Linked DNA regions of Cricetulus griseus. The protein of the gene in region 1 purifies or fractionates together with the protein of each later gene. This does not show direct contact. Links are inferred from orthologs where the notes say so. Each region holds a gene or a part of one and is shown in the gene's direction. Other genes may lie near its edges.

Region 1 (6,539 bases):
TGTCACTTAAAGGCCTACGGGTGACTCAAAGTCAACTGCATGCCTAAAAAGCCCACCCCAGCATGAAGGAGGATTCACAAGAACTGCTTTTCTGGGGCTCCCTGGCCAACTTGCAAGCAGTTCCACTAAAAGTTTTTCCTCTCCCCAAATCACTTGCTGCTTTATAACACTAGGGAGGGCTTTGAGAATCTTTTTTTTTTTTTAAGATTTTATTTATTTAGTATACAGTCTTTAGCCTGCACACCAGCAGAGGGTACCAAATCTCATTCAAGGTGGTTGTGAGCCACCATGTGGTTGCTGGGAATTGAACTCAGGATCTCTGGAAGAACAGTGCTCTTAACCGCTGAGCCATCTCTCTGCTTTGTGAATCTTAACAACATTCAGAAGTTATTGAGCCTGGTAACTGTCACTTGAGTCTTAGGGGACTCCTTTCTCCCTCTTGAGGAAATGTTTCAATTCACAGGAAACAGATACTACACAAAACTATCCTGTTCCAAACTATTTTGTATGTATCTTCCAGAGGAAACTTCTGAAAGTATGGTTATCACTTCATAGCTCAAAATGCAGTGAAATGCTACTTTGTTGCCAGACCAATCTAGTCTAATCACCTTGGGTTCAGGAGCCCCACTTAGACTGATTTATTTCCTCTCTATATCTAAATACTTGAGATGCCTGGCCTGTCAGGCAGCCTGCCATTCAGTAAACAATACTGGCAATGTCTCTGCTAAGTGTCAGGCACTGAGCGACACTCTTAGACTCTTGAGAACTAGTAGAGAGAGTAGTACAATCTAGTAGAGGACCCAGGTGCTAAAAGGACTTTCTAAATAAATAATTAAAACAATAGTTACTAAAAGTGTTTTGGAGAATTCCAAAAACCAGTGAGAGGTCAAGAAAGGGGCTGCAGAAGAGGCTATACTTAAGATGAGGCTGAGGTTTGCACTGGAGGGTTTGGCCAGGGAGGCGAAAGGAATTGATGAAAGCTGTCCACATAAACATTTTGAGCCTCCACATGCCAGTATTCTGGGGGCATTGAAGGGCGAATATGGCTGAGAAGATGAGGTAAGGCTGTAGAAGAGGTTGGCTCATTAGAAACCTGTGGTCTCAGGACTGACACCTGTCCTTCATTTAGGTCTCATCAAAAATGTCACCACCCTTTGGGCTGGTGAGATAGCTCACTGGGGAGAGGAACTTATTGCCAAGTCTGACAACCTGACTTCAATCCCAGGATCAACATGATAGAAGGAGTAAACCATTTCTCCTTTGATCTCCACACATGTGCTGTGACACACACACACACACACACACACACACACACACACACACACACACACAAACAATTTTTTTTTCTTTTTCGAGACAGGGTTTCTCCGTGTAGCTTTGGAGCCTATCCTGGCACTCGCTCTGGAGACCAGGCTGGCCTCGAACTCACAGAGATCCTCCTGCCTCTGCTTCCCGAGTGCTGGGATTAAAGGTGTACACCACCAATGACCAGCTCTAACTTTCCATTCTTATTACTTATTTAGAGACATGTTTCTATGTCTTTCTACATAGCCCAGACTGTCCTGGAACTTACTATGTAGACCAGGCTGGCCTTGAACTCACAGAGATCCACTTACCTCTGCAGCTGAGTGCTGTGATAAAAGGCATACATGAGCATGCCCAGAAAATTTCCATTCTTTTAATATCTACACAAGACGTTGGGAATTAAATTCCTTCCAGTCTAGAAAAGAGACTGTGTTTAAGACGTGGTAGACGACGAAGCCAGTGACTTGTCTAAATTCACAGAATAAGAGTAGAGACAGAACCTGGGCAGCGTTAATTTCTTTACTCATTTGTGCTTTATTCACAGGGTCACCTGGCATTGTTTCTCAAAAAGAGGCCAAGGAACACAGGCTTCAGAATCACGCCCACAGATTCTCTAAGGCAGACCCTAGAAATATGTATTTTTATAAGCTCCTGAGGTAATTGTCCTGCACACGACCGTCTCATATACTGCTGTGCCCTGGGTGACAGCAGCACCACGTCAAAAGCAGCCTTGGCCAAATTCCTGGGTTTATGGTTCCCACAGCCTCATGGGAAATGTAGTTTCGACTGACCTTCCCGCCTCCGGCCTCTGGGTGAGCTCGCCGGAAGGAGCCGAGCCAATGCGGAAACAGCCGAGTGTTCCGAGGCGGGCCTTTTCCTGCTCGATTGCATGCTGGGAAAGGGCAGTTTCCGTTAGCTGCTGAAGGCTGAGGCGCGCCACCGGCCACCTCCCCACGTGAAGCAGTTGTCCGAGCATCGCCAAGCCGGGCAGCTGTCTAACCCGCGTCCGAGCGCCCCGGAAGCGGCGGGGGACCGGAAGTGGCCCGCGGAGGCTGCAGAGCTAGTCCGGGAGCCCGCTGTGAGGCGACTGGCAGCGCTGCGACGGCGCCATGTCCCTGATCTGCTCGAGTGAGTGCTGGCTGCGGCGGGAGGCGGGAGCGTGGCTGCGGCCGGGGCCCCGGAGCCCGCGGCCCTGCGTGCGGGGTGCATTTGCGCAGTGCCGCGCAATTCACGTAGCTGGGAAGAATGACTGTGGTTGTTACACTGAGCGGAGACGGGCCTGAACGGGGTGGGGGGGTGGGAAGGGGGAGTTGGTGCAGGGAAAAACAGCTCCTGGTGTGGGAAAACCGAGGACGTGTCCAGCATCCGCCTCCGATTGTGACCTGGTCAGCAGCGGTCCAGGGCCTCAGTTTCCCCATCTGCAGCAGCATCCATTGAAAGCGTTGCAGTGGGTATTGCTCGGGAACGTCGCTTAGGCATCGATGTGTCTGCGATTTGCAGGGATCACGCAGTGACTTGGAGGCAAGGCTGGAAGCCAGGTGTCTGGCTTCTAGCCTCGCGCAGTATGACTAATGAAAACAGCGACCATTTAGGAGACCTGTATTGATGTACGACGCACTTCCAAACGATGATCCCATTTTATGCTTACAAAAAAAAATTGTCTGAATGGAAATAAAGATCCGTGATTTAGAGAGGGCGTCAGAAATCTTAGGAAGCATGAGGTTTATCCAGGGGTGTGCGGCACAGCTGGGCGGTGGAGCTCGGTTCTTTGAGCCCGGATCCATGCTTTTTCCATACTGTATGCTGTCTTGTCATTGGGTGTTTTGTTAACGGCATTGCGGGTGTTTACCTTCTTGTTTACCACATCACTAGCTTCCCCTCCCTCTCCATTCTCTTCTCAGAACGTTGCCATTAATTCAAAGAGGGAAAGGAAGGAGGGAAATGACAAACAGAAAAGGGAATTCACATCACACATAAGAAATTTCAGTTTGCAAAGTATTTTCGAACGATTTGTTTCCTTTTAATCTTGAGAGAGCACGCTTACATGCCCTGGGCCATCCTTCCTTTTTGTAGGGGAGGGAAAGCTCACTCAAGTGTTCAGTGGTTGAGTATGTGAGTGAGATAAGCCAACAGAATAGCACAGGAAAGCCATGTTTCCTCCCATACTTCATTACTTATGCATGGGAATCCTGCAAAAATAGGTGATTCTAAGGGAAGCTTGTACAGACCCATGTGCCACAGAAGAGAATAGGAGCTTGAGGCCTCAGGTGGGAAGGCAAACAGAATTATGTGGTGAATAAGAGCTGTTCTGTTACGTGATAAGTCTCTCGGGCAATAAATAATCTCTCTCAGAAGAGTCTTGAGTGTGGAGGTTGCTTTCACTCGTCTGCTGAGGTGAACCAATTGTCCCTGTTTAGGGGACGTTAGAGAAACAAGAGGGCCTGAGAAGGTCAGAGAGACCTTGATTCTGAGCTTGCTTTTGAGTTCTTCCTTTTTGGTAGTTCAGCATTACCAGGCTCCATACTTTGGGATATTTTTTATTGAGCCCCAGGATGTACCATGTTCTGATGTTTATCAAGTGTCTGCTTAGTATCTGCATTGTCCTGGAGGTCAGTGACAGCTGTGGTGCCCATCTTCAAGGGTACACAGACTATTCTGTCAAGTGCCTAGAATAGAATCTTGCTTGGCACACAGTAGCAGACACTATAGAAAGGTTTTTTATTTATTTATTTTTTAATTTATCAGTGCTTGTCACATTGCTTAGAAATTTTTCTGCCTGTTCCATCTAGGGCTCCAGACGAATGGCAGGGGTTTGAGTTGTGTGTACTTATTTGTCATATGCCTAGTCAGTCATATTTGTTCAAAAATGAGATGGCAGGGCATACTGACCACTCTTTATGGGACTGACATATAGTTATTATTTACTGGCTTTTATTATCAGCAGACTAGAGAACCTAGTTAAGTAGTTGGCAAGTATTCTAGGGCCAAGTACCAGCTGGCTTGCTGTCACAGACCTTGCTTTCTGATAGCTGAGTATGAGGACAGGGTCTTGTGGGGGCCGATACAATCTAGCCCAGGCCTCCTTTTACCCTGTGTTCACTACCTGCCTTTCTCTATAGTCTCCAACGAAGTGCCAGAGCACCCATGTGTGTCCCCTGTCTCTAATCATGTGTACGAGCGGCGGCTCATTGAGAAGTACATTGCAGAGAATGGCACAGATCCTATCAACAACCAGCCTCTCTCAGAGGAGCAGCTCATCGACATCAAAGGTGCCCGCCCGACCGATAGCCTAAGTCCAGGGCCAGCTCAACTCAGCCTTCAAGAGTGGGAGGAGGAGCCAGTCTGGTGGAGAAGATGGTGGCTGTGAATGAATAAAGAAAGGAGGGGTGGGGGAGGGGTGAGCCCCCGGGGTTCTGGTTCTTCATACCTGCTTTGCTGCCTCTCTTGGCAGTTGCTCACCCAATTCGGCCCAAGCCTCCCTCTGCCACCAGCATCCCAGCCATTCTGAAAGCCTTGCAGGATGAGTGGGTGAGTTCTTTGAAGAGTATGCACCTCTGGGCCTGGGGATTAAAAAGGTGGGACTGCCCTCCTTTTCTTTTTAATTTTTTATTTTATGTGTATGGGTCTTTTGCTTACATGTATGTCTGTGTGTCACTTATGTGCCTGGTGCTTGGGAGGCAGGGGGAGGGTGTGTGATCCCTTGGAATTGTGGTTACAGACCGTTGTGAGCCCCCATGTGGGTTCTGGGAATTGAACCCGGGTCCTCTGGAAGAACAGCAAGTGCTCTTAACTCCTGGACTGTCTGTCTCTCCAGGCTCTCTTATTTTCTTGAGATAGGGCCTTGCTTTGTGGTCTAGACAGGTCTGGAAACTCATGATGCTTCCTCCTCAGCCTCCTAGTGCCTAGGATTACAAGTGCCCACCAGGCCTGACTCTTTGGGGGGATGAACACAGGGCTAATGTAAATGCTGTACCACTGAGCAGCCCCCTCATTTCTTGCCAGCCATATTTCATTTGTGAGGAGCAGGATGGCAGCACAAGAGGAGCCTGCTTGTTGGAAGTCTTGCAGACCTGGATTCCAAAGTTTTCTCCACTGTCAGCCTTTGTGACTTGGGGCACACTGCTCAGTCTCTGAGGCTTGACCTTCCTGACTATAGGACATTGATTAGTCCTGTCTGTCTGTACTCTGTAAGAAGTAGAATAAAATTGACAAATTTGCCTTGTGACGTCAGGGACTCTCTTTCATTACTGAGCACTGCACTTGCTGAGGGTAGCTAGTAAATAACCACAGCAGCATTATTTCCTTTCAGAGAAGTGATGGCATTAACATATGTGCTTTACTGCTGAAGTAAAGCAAAGCTGGGGGTTGGAAGGAGCCAGATCTTGCTTCTGTCTATGTGTCCAGGGTGTGGTGTGGAGTAGGAGCCTGAATGCCTTACAGGGCATTCAGGGTCACTCATATGTTAGCTTGGGTCTCTGAGTAGTTCAGGTTGGCTTCAGTGTAGAATAGGAGGTGGTGTCCTCTTCTCCAGGGCTGGCCGAGTTCTCCAGCTCTCCCCCAGTCCTCACAGTGGCCTACCCCCTCCCAGGATGCAGTCATGCTGCACAGCTTCACCCTTCGCCAGCAACTGCAGACAACCCGCCAGGAGCTGTCCCATGCTCTGTACCAACACGATGCTGCCTGCCGAGTCATTGCCCGTCTCACGAAGGAAGTCACTGCTGCTCGAGAAGGTGTCTCCTCTTCCCTGCTGTTCCCTACCCTTTGCTGGCTCTGCTTTGTAATGTCCCATTTCTAACATCATCTTTTCTCTCAGCTCTGGCTACTCTGAAACCACAGGCTGGTCTTATTGTACCTCAGGCCGTGCCAAGCTCACAGCCCAGTGTTGTGGTAAGTGTTCCATTCCAAGCCCCAATAGCTGTCCTTACACAGGTGCCTTTGGTATTGTGAGTTCCTCCCATTCTCCCTTTCTTTTCTCCAGGGTGCAGGAGAGCCCATGGATTTGGGTGAGCTGGTGGGAATGACCCCTGAGATTATCCAGAAGGTGAGTCATATGCTCTTTTGCTGGGAATGCCACATGTCCTCCTAACTCAGTGCCATGGGTCTTGGGGCTAGAGTAAGAATCTCACCCTGAGCAGTGGAAAGCCTGCCCTGCCACTCTTGAGTTTTCTGACTAGGCTGACTTTAGCCTGCCTTTCTCTGTCTCATTTTCCTTGCTTCTTTTTTTTGTTGTTGTT
Region 2 (5,892 bases), on another chromosome or scaffold:
GAAAGTAGGTAAATGATCTCCATTGTTGGGTGCGTTGTTTCTGTGGAGACAGAAGCCTGGGTCTGTTGAGAGAAAGAGGTGATTTTTATCTTGAACACAGATAGCATCAAGTTAGAGGCCTCTGCTCCATATTCAACCAAATCAGCACAGCTTTTGTGTGGATATTGGTGTGGGATTTTATTTCAGCCAGTAATTGTTTTGTTTTTTTAAAAAGAGAAAAAGACTTGAGGGAAAAGCACTCATGTGGACCAACACCAAGCACGTGGGGGAAAGAGTTCATGTGAGTCAGAAGGGTCAAGGAAGAATTCAGAAAAGAGGACATGGAACTCAGAGCTGTCCAAACTCAGGATAGAAGAAAGCATAACAGTTCTCATCAAGTAATGGTTCTCATTAAAGTTTGGCATAGAGTGCCACTCCTGTAATAAATAGTTTTATGTTTTGTATCTTTTTTTAATTTTCAAGAAGAGTCATTGGCATGCCACTAGTGGGCAACTGTTAAATGCCTAACTGTTGGTGGTTTTCTGATTGATTATTAAGGAATAAGTAGGCATTTTTTTAAGGTCTTAAGAATTATTGGAGTTTCATCTAATGTGTTGGTATTTCTAAGAGTTGAGTGACACCTTCACTTCTTTTTATTCCTGTCTCCTTAGCTGCTTTTTGAAGGTGTTTACAGTAGCAGCATATTCAAGCTAATTAGCCTGTTGTTAGGGATCAGCACACTTCCTGTAAGGACCAGACAGTAAATATTCTTGTGTGGCTGATCACCCAGACACACAAGTAGTGGCTCTGTTACTATTACAGCTCAGAAGTGGCCACAGTGCCTATATTAATAGGGTGGCCATGTTCTCAAAAAATATAATCTCAAGCCTGGGGGGAAAGTGTAGATTTGATCCAGAGGCTGTCTGACCATTCACCTACAAGTCTGACAATATGTTTTTAAATTTTAAATGTTTATTAAAATGCTCCTAAACTTAACCTGTAAGTAACTAAATAAAACGTTTACATCTGTATCTCAGCTTCTCACAATTGAGAGACTGTTGACTATTTTGGAAAGAATGAGATATTTGTAATAAAAATAGCAATGTATTTACTTTTTACAAAGATTTTTCTGGTATTTGTCAAGAATCAAAAAGAGGAATGAGTAAGTTGGTAAAGTGCTTTCCTGCCATGTGCGAAGCCCTAGGTCCCTACCACTGAAAAACTGGGCCTTGTTGTGTACATCTGTGGTACACAACCATGCACTCAGGAAGTGGGTAAGAAGTTCAAGGTCATCCTCTGCTACCTAGCAAGTTCCATGCCAGCTGGGCTATAAGAGAACCTGTCTCAAAAAGGAGAAAGGAAAGGAGAAAGAAAACTACCATCTGACAGATGTTCATTTGTGAACCAATATAAGACAACTGACTTGAAGTTAGTAACTTTGTGTCTTCCTCTGCCATTGACAGGAACAAGAACAAAAAGCAGAGGAAGAGAGAATTCGAATGGAAAATATTCTGAGTGGAAACCCCCTCCTCAATCTCACTGGCCCATCCCAGCCTCAGGCCAACTTCAAGGTTAAAAGAAGGTACTAAAAGTAATGGGTTGACCAGATGGTGGTGGCACACACCTTTAATCCCAGCACTTGGGAGGCAGAGGCAGGCGGATCTCTGTGAGTTTGAGACTAGGCTGAACAGCCAGGGCTACACAAACCCTGTCTTAACCAAGGGGATAAAAAATAATGGGTTGATCTATATGTGTGGTACATTATTTGTATTATGTGTTACATAAGGCTTCTAAGACCCCACCTCCTATATATAACCTCAGTCAGATTTTAGAATAATGGGAGAAGAAGAGAGGCAGGATGACTTCATTTTAATGCATACTCATAATAACCAAGTGTCTGCCAAGTCATGGTCTAAACCTGATCACTAGCTACATGACGGTAGCTACAAAACCTGTACGTGGGATGTGAGTGGAAGGGTCCTCAAGACCACCCCTCACAGTTCAGTTCTAGAAGGATTCAGGGGACTTGCCATGACCATATTGATGTTTGATATTGTAAGATACACACAGATCATACAGTTGTGAGTATTCATAGATATACATTCAGGTCACAAGGTGGAAAGACATAGACTTCCTTACACTCCTATTCCTGTAAGAGGTCACTAAACAGTGAAACTAGAAGTTGACACTTGATGATCAAGGTTATTGGGACTCGTCCTGCAGGAACTTCTGTTGCGTGGAAGTCAAGTTAGTTATGTACTATAGGCAAGTGATGGTGAGAGGTGACTCGGGTCTCCAGTGCTAGCCGAGCTAAGAGGCAGGCTGGGAGTGAACACTGTACTGCATGTGAAGGAGGAGGGCACTAGAGAGCTGGAAAGAGTCTGCATAATGTGACAACAGATGAGGATGCAGAGGAAAGTAGAGTGAGCACTCACAGGAGCCACTGTGTGTGTGTGATGGGGGGGGGGGGCTGTACTGTGTCAGGGGTGAGGAGTCCCGTTGCCTTTCCTTTCTGCTCACCTCCACCGCTGCTGTCTCATCAGGAATGAAGCACTGCCCCAGCTGCTCTCCTGCCCATTCACCCCAAAGGTCATGCTCCTGCTCACACACAAAGAAAACTCCATCTTCTTCCAAGCTCTTCTCTCATCCCAGCACCATGGTTCTTTCTTTTAAAAGTCACGATAATAGCTGCTTTTTTCTAAATTCGTTCGTTTCTTTACTCGATCACAGTAAAAGAACAGTCCTTGTGGTGACATAAAGCTAAAAACTTAACACACATTCTTGAAGACAACAGTACAGTCAAGGGAAGGTTTGCTGACACCAGCAGTTTAGAGACCAGACTCCAAGCATTTTACCTGAGCAGTTGCAAGGCAGGCATGGGAAGGAGTATGGCTTATACTGAGCATGAAAGAGGAAACAGGTTCCAGGCATGCTAGGATTGGAGTGCTCTACACATCTCTAAGTGTATCTAGTCTGTGTGTTTCTGCAGTTGGTTCAAGCTGGTAATAATTCGTCTGGGAGTCACCAGCATGGGCAGAGGGTTGTGTCAGTGCCTGGAGTAGGGTGCAGTATAAGTTCATAGTACTGGAGTAGTATAAGTTCATAGTAAGTGCTTAAAAACTAGTATTTGGATTTAAAATCCTAGGCTAAGACTAAGCACCTAGAGAAGAGGGCAGCCAAGACATTCCCATTAGTGTTGTGAGAGGAATGAGTGACAGTCTGGGAATACTGTATGCTGATGTGTGTTCGAAGAGAAGGGAGCAAGGGACCAAAAGCTCATTGGGATGAGTTAAGAGACAAAACACGATAAATGAATATGAAGCAGTCTGGTTTATTCTTCCCTTTGTGGATGCAGGAGTAAATATCCCAGTTTACCATGCTGCTGAGCTTCTCATGTGTGCAACATCAAGGCAAATTTACTGACACAGTACCCATAGGTACACATAGTCTTTGCTCATTTTCCTTGTGCAATTTCTCCTGGTAAATATACACCAACACACACAAGCACAATGTAAGCTGTGTTTTATGTATGTTTGTGTCTGTGTTTGTCATGAGGAAGGGTTTATGTTTTTATATGGGAGGTGCTGCTCTGACGTTATGCACTTTACTTTCCATGGCACCTTTCCATGAGTGTGTTTCATGCTCTCTGAAATCCAGCTGAGTTCTACTCTGAGCTCCTTAGCAGATACTTCTTCAGTATTAATGGAGACTGGGGCCAATCTGTGAATCTTCATTGTTACATTCCTGTAGTTCTGTCTTTTGTTGCTTTATGATGTATGACCAGCATGATGGATATAATTGATTAGAAGTATGTACAAAACTTTACAAAGCATCAGGAAATGGATCACTTACTGTCTAGTGGTGTTGGATCAGGACCATGGCCCTGCCTCTTGGTTTTAGACCTGAAAATATCACACCTTTACCTGAGCGCAGTATGTGTGTCTGCTTCTGCTTTGTAGCTCAGAGCTGCTTCCACTAGGGGAGTGGTATGTGCTCTGAGTATGGGTGCCTCCTGCTGTGACAACTTCCACCATAGGCACACCAGTTCTTTTCTTGTCAGGAGGCAGATTGTGTCTGTGTTGATGAAGCTTTACAGCCTGTGTGGTGTTCTTGTTTCCTGATAGAATTATAAGGTATTTATTTTCTTTTCTTCCCCTTTAGGTGGGACGATGATGTCGTTTTTAAGAACTGTGCAAAGGGTATAGATGATCAGAAGAAAGACAAAAGATTTGTAAATGATACACTTCGATCTGAATTTCACAAAAAGTTCATGGAGAAATATATTAAGTAGTACAGTTTTATGTGCTTAATTAAAGTCTAATAAAATGTTAAGGATCAATTTGACTTTTGGGGGGTTTGTTCTTTCCCTGTTTGAACTTTCTCAATCTCTTTCCCGTAGTGTGGTATTTTATCTATAATGGATTTAGAGGTGAGTCTGACCAGTTTCCAGTCTTACTTCCTTTTTAATATGGAGAAAGGGAATCTGCTTGGAATAAATATTTTTAACCTAAGTAAACCAGTGTCCCCAACTTTTTGCCATAATCTATGCAGCTTATAAAAAATTACATGATTATTTTTTTAAATGAAAAGTACTTTATGTGTTGTTTTTAATGCATTAAATTTTCCCTTTATCCCACACTGATTTGAGGTCCATTAGTAGATGACAGCACTGTGTTTTGTAAGTGTGGTAAAGGATAAGGGGGATTCCACATCAGAGAACATGTCACCATAAGTCCTCTGGGGTGGGTCAGGAGATGCCTGCCATATCAGTCCTGCAAACAATGTTCTTTTCTTTTGGCCTATGACATCCGTTCCCAGAACATAAATGAGTACAGGTACTCATTTATGTCCTTTGGAGCTATGTCCACACACTGAGATGCAAAGCTGTCTTGACTTTCATCAGTACTGACAAAGCTATTCTTTTAATGGCATATTATCATGAAAGATATTTCTGTGCAAAGCCAGAGGAAGAAATACAGCCATAAAAAGCATAATTTCTAAGAAATGTGGCTTTAAATGTTCTACTTTGATAGAAAATTTGGGACCACAAACTGAACGTTTCCCAGATGGGAAGCATTTATTTATTTTTTTAAGATGTTTTGCTGTGTAGGCTCACTTCAAAACTGGGCAACCCTCTTCTCAGCTCTCAAGAACTGGGGCTTACAGGTGTCAGCCACCAAGCCCAGCTCAAACTTTTCAAAAACAATTGGCATGTCTCATTTCCTCTTGCTATTTAGTCATTAAAAAAAGCACATTAATTTGGGGATTGGAGTTAATTTATTGGTAATTTGACTCTAGTTAATAGGATTTGTTGCTCTTGCAGATGATATTCAGTTCCTGTCACAACAATCTTAGGGGATCTAATGCCCTTGTCTGGCCTTCATGCAGCACACCCAGACACATATAGAAAAAGATGCAAATTCATCCAGTGTAGAGTTGACAGGCTTGTATGTTGCCTGAATTGAGAGTGAAGCTGGGAAGGGAGCTAGATCTCCATCCCGCAGCATCCTCTGATGTCTTTTGTAAAGGTTAGGTCTCTTTTTCCGTATTTGTAGTATGGTTGTGGTTCTCCCTAGCCCCGTTAATAAACTACACTCCTGCAGTTTCTATCACTGGAGTACATTCTAGTTCTGAAACCATTCTCACATGCCAGCTCTTTTAGGGATTTCTCATTTCATTTTTGTAAAATACACTGTTCTCTCCTGGCCTGGGTCTCAAAGTCCTGTAAGAGGGAGAAGGGAGAAGAATATGTGCCAGGTTTTCCTCATTCTATGATCCAGATTCCTTTCCTTTTTGACAAAGAGGGACGATGACAAGAGGGAAAGGTGATTAACTAATCAAAAGCAGCTGCCTCAGAGCATCCCCATGTCAACAAGTGCCACAGTGGAGGCTGTGTAGAGAACAGTTCTGTTG
Region 3 (4,747 bases), on another chromosome or scaffold:
TTAATTATGTATGTATGCATTAGAGTGCAGGTGCCTTTGAAGTTCAGAAGCACTGGCTCCCTCTGGAGCTGCAGTGCAGGCAGTTTTTACATATGAGCCTCCTGATGTGGGTGCTGGGAACCAGATTTGATCCTCTGCAGGAGCTCTGCACACTGAACTATTGAGCCATCTCTCTGAATCCTAAAAATATACTTTTTAAAAATAAATAGACATGTTAAGCTGGGTGTGGTATTTGCCTTAGACCAAGCACTTGGGTGGGGGACTTGGGCAGGAGAATCACAAGTCTGAGGTCAGCCTATGGTGCATTGCATAGATACACTTTGTCTCAGGAAGGTGGGTGGAGTTCCTAGTGATAGGAAAAAATATCATAGGTTTTTAAAAAGAAAGGTGGACATGGCTTGATGAATTTCCTGAGTCTTTCAGATGGATTCTTTCTCTGTAGTCCAGGCTCTTCTTGAACTCTTGGTGTTCCTCTTGCCCTACCCAGCCTCTTGAATGCTGAGCTAACCGGTGTGACTTAACCACACCACCAGTGCATTCAATTCTGTACATGTACTCAGCACTCAGTATTCAGGCTGGGAAAAAATCTTTTATGAAAGAAAAATTGCTGATTTGTATTGACACCCCCCAGTTGTACATGTATTAAGTTGTCTCAGAAACTTGCACCAGATAATACTTTTTTTTTTTTAAAGATTTATTATTATCTTTACAGTGTTCTATCTGCATGTATAGAGTGCACACCAAATAGGGCACCAGACCTTATAGGTGGCTGTTAGCCATTATGTGGGTGCTGGGAATTGAACTCAGGACCGTAAGTCAGTGCTCTTAACCTCTGAGCCACCTCTTGAGCCCCCGGATAATACTCTATAGTATGATTTCAACTGCTATTTTTTTGTTTATTTTTTTTGTTTTTCGAGACAGGGTTTCTTTAGCTTTGGGGTCTGTCCTGGATCTTGCTCTGCAGACCAGGCTGGCCTCGAGCTCACAGAGATTTGTCTGTCTCTGCCTCTTGAGTGCTGGGATTAAAGGTGCTTGCCACTAATGCCTGGCCTTCAGCTGCCTTCTTTATCGTGTTGGTAATTGTTGTGCTTTCTTTCCCTTTAGGTGTAGATGTCAGCATGAATACACATCTTAAAGCTGTGAAAATGACCCTGAAGAACAGAGAACCTGTACAGTTGGAAACATTGAGTATCCGAGGAAATAACATCCGATATTTTATTCTACCAGACAGCTTACCTCTGGATACATTACTTGTGGATGTTGAGCCTAAGGTGAAATCTAAGAAAAGGGAAGCTGGTAAGTGAAGATGTTTTGTATATAGTGTGTTGAAATCTTAATTCAATGGTGGTTCAGAATACATCTGTGAACATTGAGGGCATAGTATTGCTTGCAGCATCTTATATTCAGATGAGTGCATGTGATACCTAGAGTTCCTGGAGTTGCTGTGAGAAGAGCTGTGCCTTTTCTGCTGTCCTTTCCTCAATGGGTTCTAGATTTGGAGGCTGCCTGTAGCTTCCCTTTCTCTTGTGTGAAAATTTATTGTGAATTGTCTTGCCCATGCAGCTTAGAAGACATTAAGTTTGGTGATTTCTTCCCTTTGTTCTTCTTGGGATTCATGAGAACTGAGCCTTTTAGCTGATTCTTTTCTCATCTTGTCTCTGCCTTTTTGTTCTAGCTTCTGGGAGATAGCTGTGACCTTGCTCTCTGTCAGCACATACTTTATTCTCAAGCCTCCTTTGAGTTTTCCAAAGATCCTGTTATTCTGTTGCTGTCTGTCTTAGGGTCTCCATTGCTGTGAAGAGATACTACTGCAGCTGTCATAAAGGAAACACATTTAATTGGGATGGCTTACATTTTCCAAGCTTTAGTCCATTATCATGGTGGGACATGGCAGTGTGTAAGCAGAAGTGGTGCTGGCTACATCTTGATCAAAAGGCAACATGTAGTAAACTGCCTCATTGGGCATGGCTTGAGCATATGTGAGACCTCCACAGTAACACACTTTTCTAATAAGACCACACTCCAGCCAGGCCACGCCTCCTAAAAGTGCCTCTTCCTTTGGGGGCCATTTTCTTTCAGACTACCACACTCACAGTTGTTATTGTTGATAGACTAGTAATTGTAGTTTTCTCTTTGGGGGGCACACATGAGGGAGAGAAGTGTGGAGACAGGGTTTCTCAGTAGAGTTGCTGTCCTAGAACTCACTCTGTAAACCAGGCTGGCCTCAAACTCAGAAATCCGTCTGTCTCTGCCTCCTGAGTGCTGGAATTAAAGGTGTGTGCTACCACTGCCTGGCCCTATATGTTTATTTTTAAAGATACTTAGAAAGGACATTCTGGGGCTGGGCGGTATTTGTCCAGTCTAGCCTTGAGTTTGTGACGCTCCTGCTCAGTCCCCCTAAGTAACTGGGCTTTTAGGCTTGTTCCACCAGTTCCAGCTTCTATAGGGTTCCAAAGTAAGTTGGTCTCTTCACTAGGCAAATTCAAAGTTTCAAGATCTAGAAGTCTATCCTAGAGCTGTTTTTCTCATTGAGAGGTTTCAGTTCCCTGCTGTATTAGCTACTTCTCTTGTTTCTGTGAGAAAATACCTTACAAGAAGCAGCTTCAAGAAAGAAAGGTTTAGTCTTTCTTGTGTGGGTTGAATGAACCTTTCATAGGAATCACCTAATACCATTGGGAAACACAAATACTCATTATGATTCAAAACAGCAGCAAAATCACAGTTATGAAATAGCAATGAAATAATTTTATTGTTGGGGGTCACCACAACATGAGGAACTGTATTGAAGGGTTGCAGCATTAGGAGGATTCATAGTTCAAGGTGTTACATTTCATTACCTGGAGAATGCAGAGCAACTCCAGGAGCAACCCTTGTCCTGTCACATTGTGTCAGGAAGCAAAAAGTGAACAGGACGTTTGGCCAGGCAATAAAACCTCAAGGCAAACAGTACCACCAGGTGGAGACCAAGTGATAGATACAAAATGTGAGTCTATGGAGGGCTTTTCACATTGAAACCACAGTATCTGCTTGGGGAGATGTGGCTGTCAGCCAGCAGTGTAAGAATAGGGCAGGAGCCGGGCGGTGGTGGCACTCGCATTTAATCCCAGCACTCAGGAGGCAGAGGCAGGAGGATCTCTGTGAGTTCGAGACTTGCCTGGTCTACAGGAGCTAGCTGCAGGACAGCCTCCAAAGCCACAGAGAAACCCTGTCTTAAAAAACCCAAAGAATTGGGCAGGAGAAAAGGGCCATTGTTTCATAGATGTTTAATATGTTGACCTTGAGATTTTGTTGCCTTCCACCCAGGAATGCACTTTGTGTTGTAGCCTGCTGGAATTAGTTATAATAATACAAATGCTCTTGGATTTATTAGTTTTTATTTAAAAATTAATGCATAGATTAAAAAACAATTTACCTTTCCCTCGCCTCAAGCCTTTCTGTGTCAGTGTCTTTTGTTTCCTTCTACTGTTTCTTTCCTAACTACTTGCTTTGCAGGATGAGGAGGCAGACTGTCAGTCTAATTGATGTCCATAAACAATGTCAACAGTTTTTTGATATGATTTGTTTTAGCGTCCTGCCTTGTCATCATCTCACTCTTTGTGGCTTTGGAGGCGGTCCTGGAACTAGCTCTTTTTGTGAAACTTCAGTCTTTTTTTTAAAGTTTTATTTATCATTTATACTGTATTCTGCATGCATGTATGCCTGCAGGCCAGAAGAGGGCACCAGATCTCATTATAGTTGGTTGTGAGCCACCATATGGTTGCTGGGAATTGAACTCAGGACCTCCAGTAGATCAGCCAGTACTCTTAACCTCCGACCCATCTCTCCAGTCCGGAACTAGCTCTTAAAGAGGTCTGCCTGCCTCTGCTTCCCGGGTGCTGGGATTAAAGGCATTTGCCACCACTGCCCGATGCTAAAAGTCCTAGTTTCTTTAGAAGCTATTTGTCTGTTACTAAATGCACACCTAGACCTTGAGAGGCAGAGGCAGGTGGATTACTGTAAGTTTGAGGTCAGCCTGGTCTACAAAGTGTAAGGTCCAGGACAGGCAAGGCTAGAAGAGACTCTCTGAGGGTTTCTATTGCTATGAAGAGAGACCATGACCAAGGCAACTCTTATAAAGGAAAACATTTAATTGGGGTGACTTACATTTTAAAAGGTTTAGTCCATTTTATCATGGTGTGACATGGTGGTGTACAGACAGACATGGTACTGGAGAAGTAGCCAAGTGTCTTACATTTAGACTTGTAGGCAGCAGGAAGTGGTCTGAGTCACTGGGTGTGGCTGAGCATCTATGTGACTTCAAAGCCTATTTCCACCATGACACACTTCCTCCAACAAGGTCCCATCTACTCCAGCAAAGCCACACCTCTTAACAGTGCCACTCCTTTTTAAAACACCACAGAGACCATATCCTAAAATGAATGGGTGGATGACTTTACAAGGGTGTGAGGTGTCAGACCATTTGCCTGACCTTCCTATGTGAGGCCCTGGGGAAAATAGACAAATCTCAGTCTTGAGTACACCAAGCAGGTGCACTGTGGTTTCTTGTCTTTGCTTTTTATTTTGTCCATGTGATGTTAAGGATATGCTGTGTGTTAAAGTACTAAGTTATAGCTGAGCCAAACAAGTTTTCAGGCTCTGACGTTATTAGATTGTTATTTGGTAGAATGTACTTAGGGTTTCTTGATTTTTGGATTAACTTGCAATGGTGGTGGTGTTCCTGTTGAGCTGCTAACTAACTGAAGAGTGT
Region 4 (5,892 bases), on another chromosome or scaffold:
CTGGCTGTCCCGAATCTCACAATGTAGGCCAGGCTGCCCTTAAACTCACAGAGATCTGCCTGCCTCTGTCTCTGCCTTCCAACTGCTGGGATTAAAGGGGCGGCATACCATTCCTGGCTATTCTCTGTTCTGTTGTGGAAGACATAGGACAATCCAGTGGTCAGTTCTCTCTCTCGTTGTTAGCCCATTAAAGTCAAGGCAGTAGCCATATAGTTCATCAGACATGAACAGACTTTGTCTCTGACCTGCCTCTAGGGTGCTGGGAAGACCAATGTGGCCCTGATGTGTATGCTTCGAGAGATAGGGAAACACATTAACATGGATGGCACTATCAATGTGGATGACTTCAAGATCATCTACATAGCTCCTATGCGGTCCCTGGTGCAGGAGATGGTGGGCAGTTTTGGAAAGGTGAGTCACATCTTCTCGAGAAGGTACTGGCTGCAGATGGCCATGAAGTGGGGGAGGGGCCTATGTGCCACTCTTTCTTTCCTTAGGGAATCTCTGGATTTTTTTTTTTTTTTTTTTTTTTTTGCCATTTCCAAGGTAGAACGTGACCCAAGTGATTTCTGAAGGAAAAATGTCTTGGCCTCTCTTACATGGACTCCATTTTTCTTTGAGCATCTCCAGAGTGCTTGTGGAGTCATGTCTGGCCCACGGATATGGTTGATAGCTTGTGAGTTGTTACTCCAGTTCCACTCTCCTAAGTGTGTCCAGTTTCCTGCTCCATGTGGGGCTCCTAGAGACACTTTGCCTCGTCAACCTGAGTGGAACTGAACTTGTTTAAATAGTATTTGGTCATCCTCCTGATTCTCCAGATACTTAACTTCTCCTAGTCCCCGGCACGGGAGCTGCTGGCGGCCCTTGGAGCGCCGTCTTCCAGACTGCACACATGAGGCAGGCTCCCTGCCGCTGATCCGTACTTCCAGCCCCGTCACTTGGTTTGCTGATGATCCATCGTTTCCTCCCCCAGCGCCTGGCCACATACGGCATCACTGTTGCTGAGCTGACTGGCGATCACCAGCTGTGCAAGGAGGAGATCAGTGCCACCCAGATCATCGTGTGCACCCCTGAGAAGTGGGACATCATCACTCGCAAGGGCGGGGAGCGCACCTACACCCAGCTGGTGCGGCTCGTCGTCCTGGTGAGTCGGGCGCGAGCGTGAGGAGAAGTTATGGTCGGGGCCTTTGCTGCTCTTGTTGTTAGTGGGGTGAACCTGGGAGAGCAGGGCCCAAAAAAGAGGCAGGCTAAAGTATCACGCAGTAGCCAACTTTATTCAGAGCATCAGGCAATTTATACTCCGAGGGTTAAGAAGAATCATAGGAATAAGGTATTGAGTCACAAGGGTAAGCCACACATGGTAAAAACATGTTTTTCATAGAGGCCTGTGAATAATAACAGTTGAGGTAAACTCACTACTACCCACTATACCTGGGAGGAGTACGAAAACATATTCCAAGAACAACTCTGTTTTTGAAGAAACTGAGGTCACCAGACTCTTGTTTCCTTGGCGTTTTCTCCCGAGTGACTCCATTTTTGGACTGTGTTCTAATGGGTGGATTTGCTGTGTCTACCTGTTTCCTGTGTGCACTGTCCTTCATACATACTGCCCTTCCCTTTAACCCAGCACCTGCATGTCGCAGAGGCTTCCCTTCCCTCCCTGTCAGTGCATGATGTTTGCCACGCTCCCCATTTTTGTTTGTTTTTTTGAGACAGGGTCTCTATGTAGTCCTCACTGCCCTGGAGCTCACTCCAGATCTGAAATATTTTGAATCAAATGGAAACACACAAAAATAATTTTGTCCTCCCAAGAACATTGAAATGCTTTGTAAATAATGCATTTTCAGACAGGACAAGTAAGGAATTGGGCCATGTGTTCCAGTTATATGGAAGCATCCACAGGAAATGGACCTTGAGCCAAGTGTTGATTCTTGTTTTTTTTTTTTTAATATTTTATTTAACTTTTTTTTTAAAAAAAGATTTTATTTATTTATTTATTATATATACAGCATTCTTCCTCCATTTATGGCTACATGCCAAAAGAGGACACCAGATCTCATTACAGATAGTTGTGAGCCACCATCTGGTTTCTGGGAATTGAACTCAAGACCCCTGGAAGTGCAGCCAGTGCTCTTAACCTGAGCCATCTCTCCAGCCCTATTTAACTTTTTTTAATGTGCATTCATGTAAGGATGCCAGATCCCTGGAACTGGAGTTACAGACAGGTGTGAGCTGCCATGTGAATGCTGGGAATAGAATCTGGGTCCTCTGGAAGAGCAGCCAGTGCTCTTACCCACTGAACCATCTCTCCAGCCCCTGATTTTTGTTTTTTTAATTAATTGCATTTGTTTATTTTCTGATGTTGTATATAGTATGGAGGTGCATGTGTGTGCCTGTGTGCCTGCGTGTGTAGGTTGGTCAGAGTACAACTTATGAGAGTCAGTTCTGTCCTACCATGTGTGTTCTGGGAGTTAAGCTCGAGCCATCAGGGTTGGCAGTAAAGTGCCTTTACCCACTGAGCTATTTCGCAGGCCTCTGAGGGTTGATACTTTACAGTGGCTAAGAAAGTAGTTCATGTTCTGTGTTCAGAGTGGGAGTTGGCAAACTGTTGCTACAAGTTTTTGTTTTATTGAACACAGTAGTGTAGATTGGTTTATGTACTATTTCCAGCTACTCTTGTCCTGATTGTTGCTATGGCAGAATTGAGTATTTGTAACAAGGGTTACATGGTTCACAAGCCTACGGTATTACATGGTTGGTACTGGATGTCCAGCCCTTTAAGAAAAGTTTGCTGACCCTTCTTTTAGAGCCTTGCTCCTCCATGTCTTTCCTATAGCAATCCATACAGCTGCTTCTTAGGAGTGCCAAATCCCTGGCCTGTTCACTCCTTTGAATTCCATTTAAATCTCTAGGTCTTCCAGTGCTTACTCTGTCTGAGAAGCACTGCTGTTGGCAGTGTGACCTTATTGTAAGTGAAGCCTTGTAGTTTTTGTTCTTGATGAAGAGACCTGCCCCAAAGTGAAGGCCTGTTTGATACAACCTGGGCAGAACCATCATATATTTGTAAGATTTATGGTAAAGTGGAGGACTCACTCGTAAGCCTACACTGAAGCTGTCTTTGTTCTTTAGGACTCTGACTTGAGGCTCCTTTTTTTGTCTTCATTAGGTGTCTTAGGCTATATACTTCTACAGCAGACTGTCTCAGGGGAGGAGGCTATATTTCTGGTTTGCTGTCTTTGGTTTCCTTTAGGATGAGATCCATCTTCTACATGATGACAGAGGTCCTGTCTTAGAAGCTTTGGTGGCCAGGGCCATCCGAAACATTGAGATGACCCAAGAAGATGTCCGACTCATTGGTCTCAGTGCTACCCTCCCCAACTATGAAGATGTGGCCACCTTTCTGCGTGTTGACCCTGCCAAGGGCCTCTTCTACTTTGACAACAGGTATAACGTGTTACTAAGGCAGACTTCCTGTCCCTTCTCTAAGGGACACACTAAATGACTTTTAGGGGTCCTGTGTGTATTTAAAAATCATTATTGCTTCTGGGTCAGTGGAAAGCTACTTTTTTACCCACAGTATTCTCTGCTGGAAATCTCATTTGTATAACTGTTGAACTTCTAGCTTCCGCCCAGTGCCTCTGGAACAGACATATGTGGGCATCACAGAGAAGAAGGCTATCAAGCGTTTCCAGATCATGAATGAAATAGTCTATGAGAAAATCATGGAACATGCTGGAAAAAATCAGGTCTGTTGATGGTTCTTGAACGTTTTCTGTTTTTGACATAAGCAAAATTGACAAGATAATAGCAAGAATCACCAGTGATCATAAACGACATTAATTATTACTACAAAACTTGCCTTAAAGCTGTGTGGTGGTGGCACATACCTTTAATCCGAGCACTTGGGAGGCAGAGGCAGTTGGATCTTTGTGAGTTTGAGGCCTGGTCTACAGAGAGAGTTCCAAGACAGCCAGGACTCTTACACAGAAAAGCCTGTCTCGAAAAACCAAGAAAACAAAAACAAAAACTCTTGCCTTAAAAATGTGGTTAGGAGTTAGGAGAGTTGATACATGCCTGTAGTACCTAGTACCTAGGAGGCTGGGGCAGGAAGACCTCAAGCCAACTGTATAGCTTGAGCTATACAGTGACACCTCCCCCCCCAATCCAAAACAAAAACAAACCACCACCACCTCCACCAACAACCCAGAGAACAAAGGAATGATTAGGAACTGGGGGTGTAGCCCAGTGGTAGAGCATAGACATAGCATGTGTGAACCCTGGGTTCAGTTTCTGTCACTGCATAAATAGGAGATGGAATAAAGAGCAATGGCTGCTTTTGCAAAGGACTCAGGTTCAGTTCTTAGCACCCACATGGAGGCTCAGAGCAGTCTGTAAACTCCAGTTCCAGGGGATCTGACTCCCTCTTCTGGCCTCTGTGGACATCAGATACATACATGGCACACATACATACATACATACATACATACATACATAGTATTTATACATATAAAATAAAGATTAATAAGTAAGTAAATGGGTAACTTAGAAGGAATGGATCACTTCCTGAAAAGAACTATTAATGTATCCTAGATGAAATACAATCTGAATAATACTGTAGTCATTAATGATAGTTTTATAATTAATATCTCCTCTTCCCAAGTTGGTGAAACTAGAAAAATCTGTCTATAAGATAGCAAAAACAAACCTGCAAATTAAAATCTAGTGAAAGCAAGCCAGTGAGATGGCTCTGCAGGTGACAGTGCTTGCCCCTAAGACTGGTGACTTGAGTTTGATTCCCAGAACCCACCTGGCGGAAGGTAACTCCACTGACCTCTACAGGTGTGCTGTGGCGTGCATGCATGTCCCCCACACAAAATAAATAAATAATTAAAGCAAACAAGCTATGGTGCATGACTTTAATACTGGGTCTTTGAGTTCAACACCAGAGTGCTTTGCATAGTTTCAGTTTGGCCAGGGATACATAGTGAAACCCTATCTAATGAAAGCACATTTTATTTGGAAGTTGAACAGAGGTTGGCAATGTTTAATGTGGCAAGAAGTAAGAGGTTATGAGTTTCTTTTTCTGATAAGAAGCAGGGGAATTTATATGACAAGACTTCAGGACCCTAGATCTTAGGAGGACTATTTATCTTATAACATGAAACTAGTTTCAAACTTATTTCCTAAATCATTCTATAAATAATGTAATAGTTTTGCTATTATCCTTTTTAAACCTTTTTTTTCTTATTTTTATTTTATGTGCATTGGTGTTTTGCCTGCATGTAAGTCTGTGTGAGGATGCCAGATCCCCTGGGACTGGAGTTACAGACAGTTGTGAGCTGGAAACTGCGCCTGGGTCCTCTGGAAGAGCAGCCAGTGCTCTTAACTGCTGAATCTCTCCAGCCCTGTAGTTTTACTGTTATCTTGCAAACACATCTTTATTTGGCTTAGATTTCTTAGGGCTCTGAACATATTCTTAGTTGAAGTCTCTGAATCTTCATACATAGTATATTTAAATTTGCCATTCAAGGTAGAATTCTGGGATTAGTTTAGTTTCTCATCTGTAAGACTGTGTCACTGCCCTTAGTAGATTCCTTCCTTCCTCTTGAGTTGTTCTGTTTTGTTCTTTTTTTCTTTCTTTCTTTCTTTCTTTTTTTTTTTTTTTTTTTTTTTGGTTTTTCGAGACAGGGTTTCTCTGTGTAGCTTTGGAGCCTATCCTGGCACTCGCTCTGGAGACCATGCTGGCCTCGAACTCACAGAGATCCACCTGCCTCTGCCTTCGGAGTGCTGGGATTAAAGGCATGTGCCACCAACGCCCAGCCCGTTTTGTTCTTTTTTTAAAAAAATTTATTATTTATTATTTTGTGTAGAGTGTTCAGCCTGCATGTATGC

The links. Proteins that work in one complex are often made in the same cells at the same time.
Region 2: the proteins of Prpf19 (region 1) and Cwc15 purify together in Homo sapiens (co-immunoprecipitation; 4 studies listed by BioGRID and IntAct, with this or other methods). This does not show direct contact. The link is inferred for Cricetulus griseus from reciprocal best matches to the Homo sapiens genes PRPF19 and CWC15.
Region 3: the proteins of Prpf19 (region 1) and Snrpd1 fractionate together in Homo sapiens (co-fractionation; 3 studies listed by BioGRID). This does not show direct contact. The link is inferred for Cricetulus griseus from reciprocal best matches to the Homo sapiens genes PRPF19 and SNRPD1.
Region 4: the proteins of Prpf19 (region 1) and Snrnp200 purify together in Homo sapiens (affinity purification with mass spectrometry; 3 studies listed by BioGRID and IntAct, counting the BioPlex papers as one, with this or other methods). This does not show direct contact. The link is inferred for Cricetulus griseus from reciprocal best matches to the Homo sapiens genes PRPF19 and SNRNP200.

The regions. Positions count from the first base shown.
Region 1 is NC_048596.1:49,555,185-49,561,723, reverse strand, and holds the start of Prpf19 (pre-mRNA-processing factor 19), read left to right. Parts: upstream 1-2,210; 5' UTR 2,211-2,414; coding exon 2,415-2,433; intron 2,434-4,424; coding exon 4,425-4,574; intron 4,575-4,756; coding exon 4,757-4,833; intron 4,834-5,836; coding exon 5,837-6,035; intron 6,036-6,118; coding exon 6,119-6,192; intron 6,193-6,283; coding exon 6,284-6,346; intron 6,347-6,539. UniProt on the Homo sapiens protein: Ubiquitin-protein ligase which is a core component of several complexes mainly involved pre-mRNA splicing and DNA repair. Required for pre-mRNA splicing as component of the spliceosome.
Region 2 is NC_048597.1:127,982,001-127,987,892, forward strand, and holds the end of Cwc15 (spliceosome-associated protein CWC15 homolog), read left to right. Parts: intron 1-1,442; coding exon 1,443-1,561; intron 1,562-4,140; coding exon 4,141-4,270; 3' UTR 4,271-4,323; downstream 4,324-5,892. UniProt on the Homo sapiens protein: Involved in pre-mRNA splicing as component of the spliceosome. Component of the PRP19-CDC5L complex that forms an integral part of the spliceosome and is required for activating pre-mRNA splicing.
Region 3 is NC_048595.1:225,857,968-225,862,714, reverse strand, and holds part of Snrpd1 (small nuclear ribonucleoprotein Sm D1), read left to right. Parts: intron 1-1,104; coding exon 1,105-1,296; intron 1,297-4,747. UniProt on the Homo sapiens protein: Plays a role in pre-mRNA splicing as a core component of the spliceosomal U1, U2, U4 and U5 small nuclear ribonucleoproteins (snRNPs), the building blocks of the spliceosome.
Region 4 is NC_048599.1:51,355,432-51,361,323, reverse strand, and holds part of Snrnp200 (U5 small nuclear ribonucleoprotein 200 kDa helicase), read left to right. Parts: intron 1-255; coding exon 256-411; intron 412-973; coding exon 974-1,144; intron 1,145-3,250; coding exon 3,251-3,444; intron 3,445-3,622; coding exon 3,623-3,746; intron 3,747-5,892. UniProt on the Homo sapiens protein: Catalyzes the ATP-dependent unwinding of U4/U6 RNA duplices, an essential step in the assembly of a catalytically active spliceosome. Plays a role in pre-mRNA splicing as a core component of precatalytic, catalytic and postcatalytic spliceosomal complexes.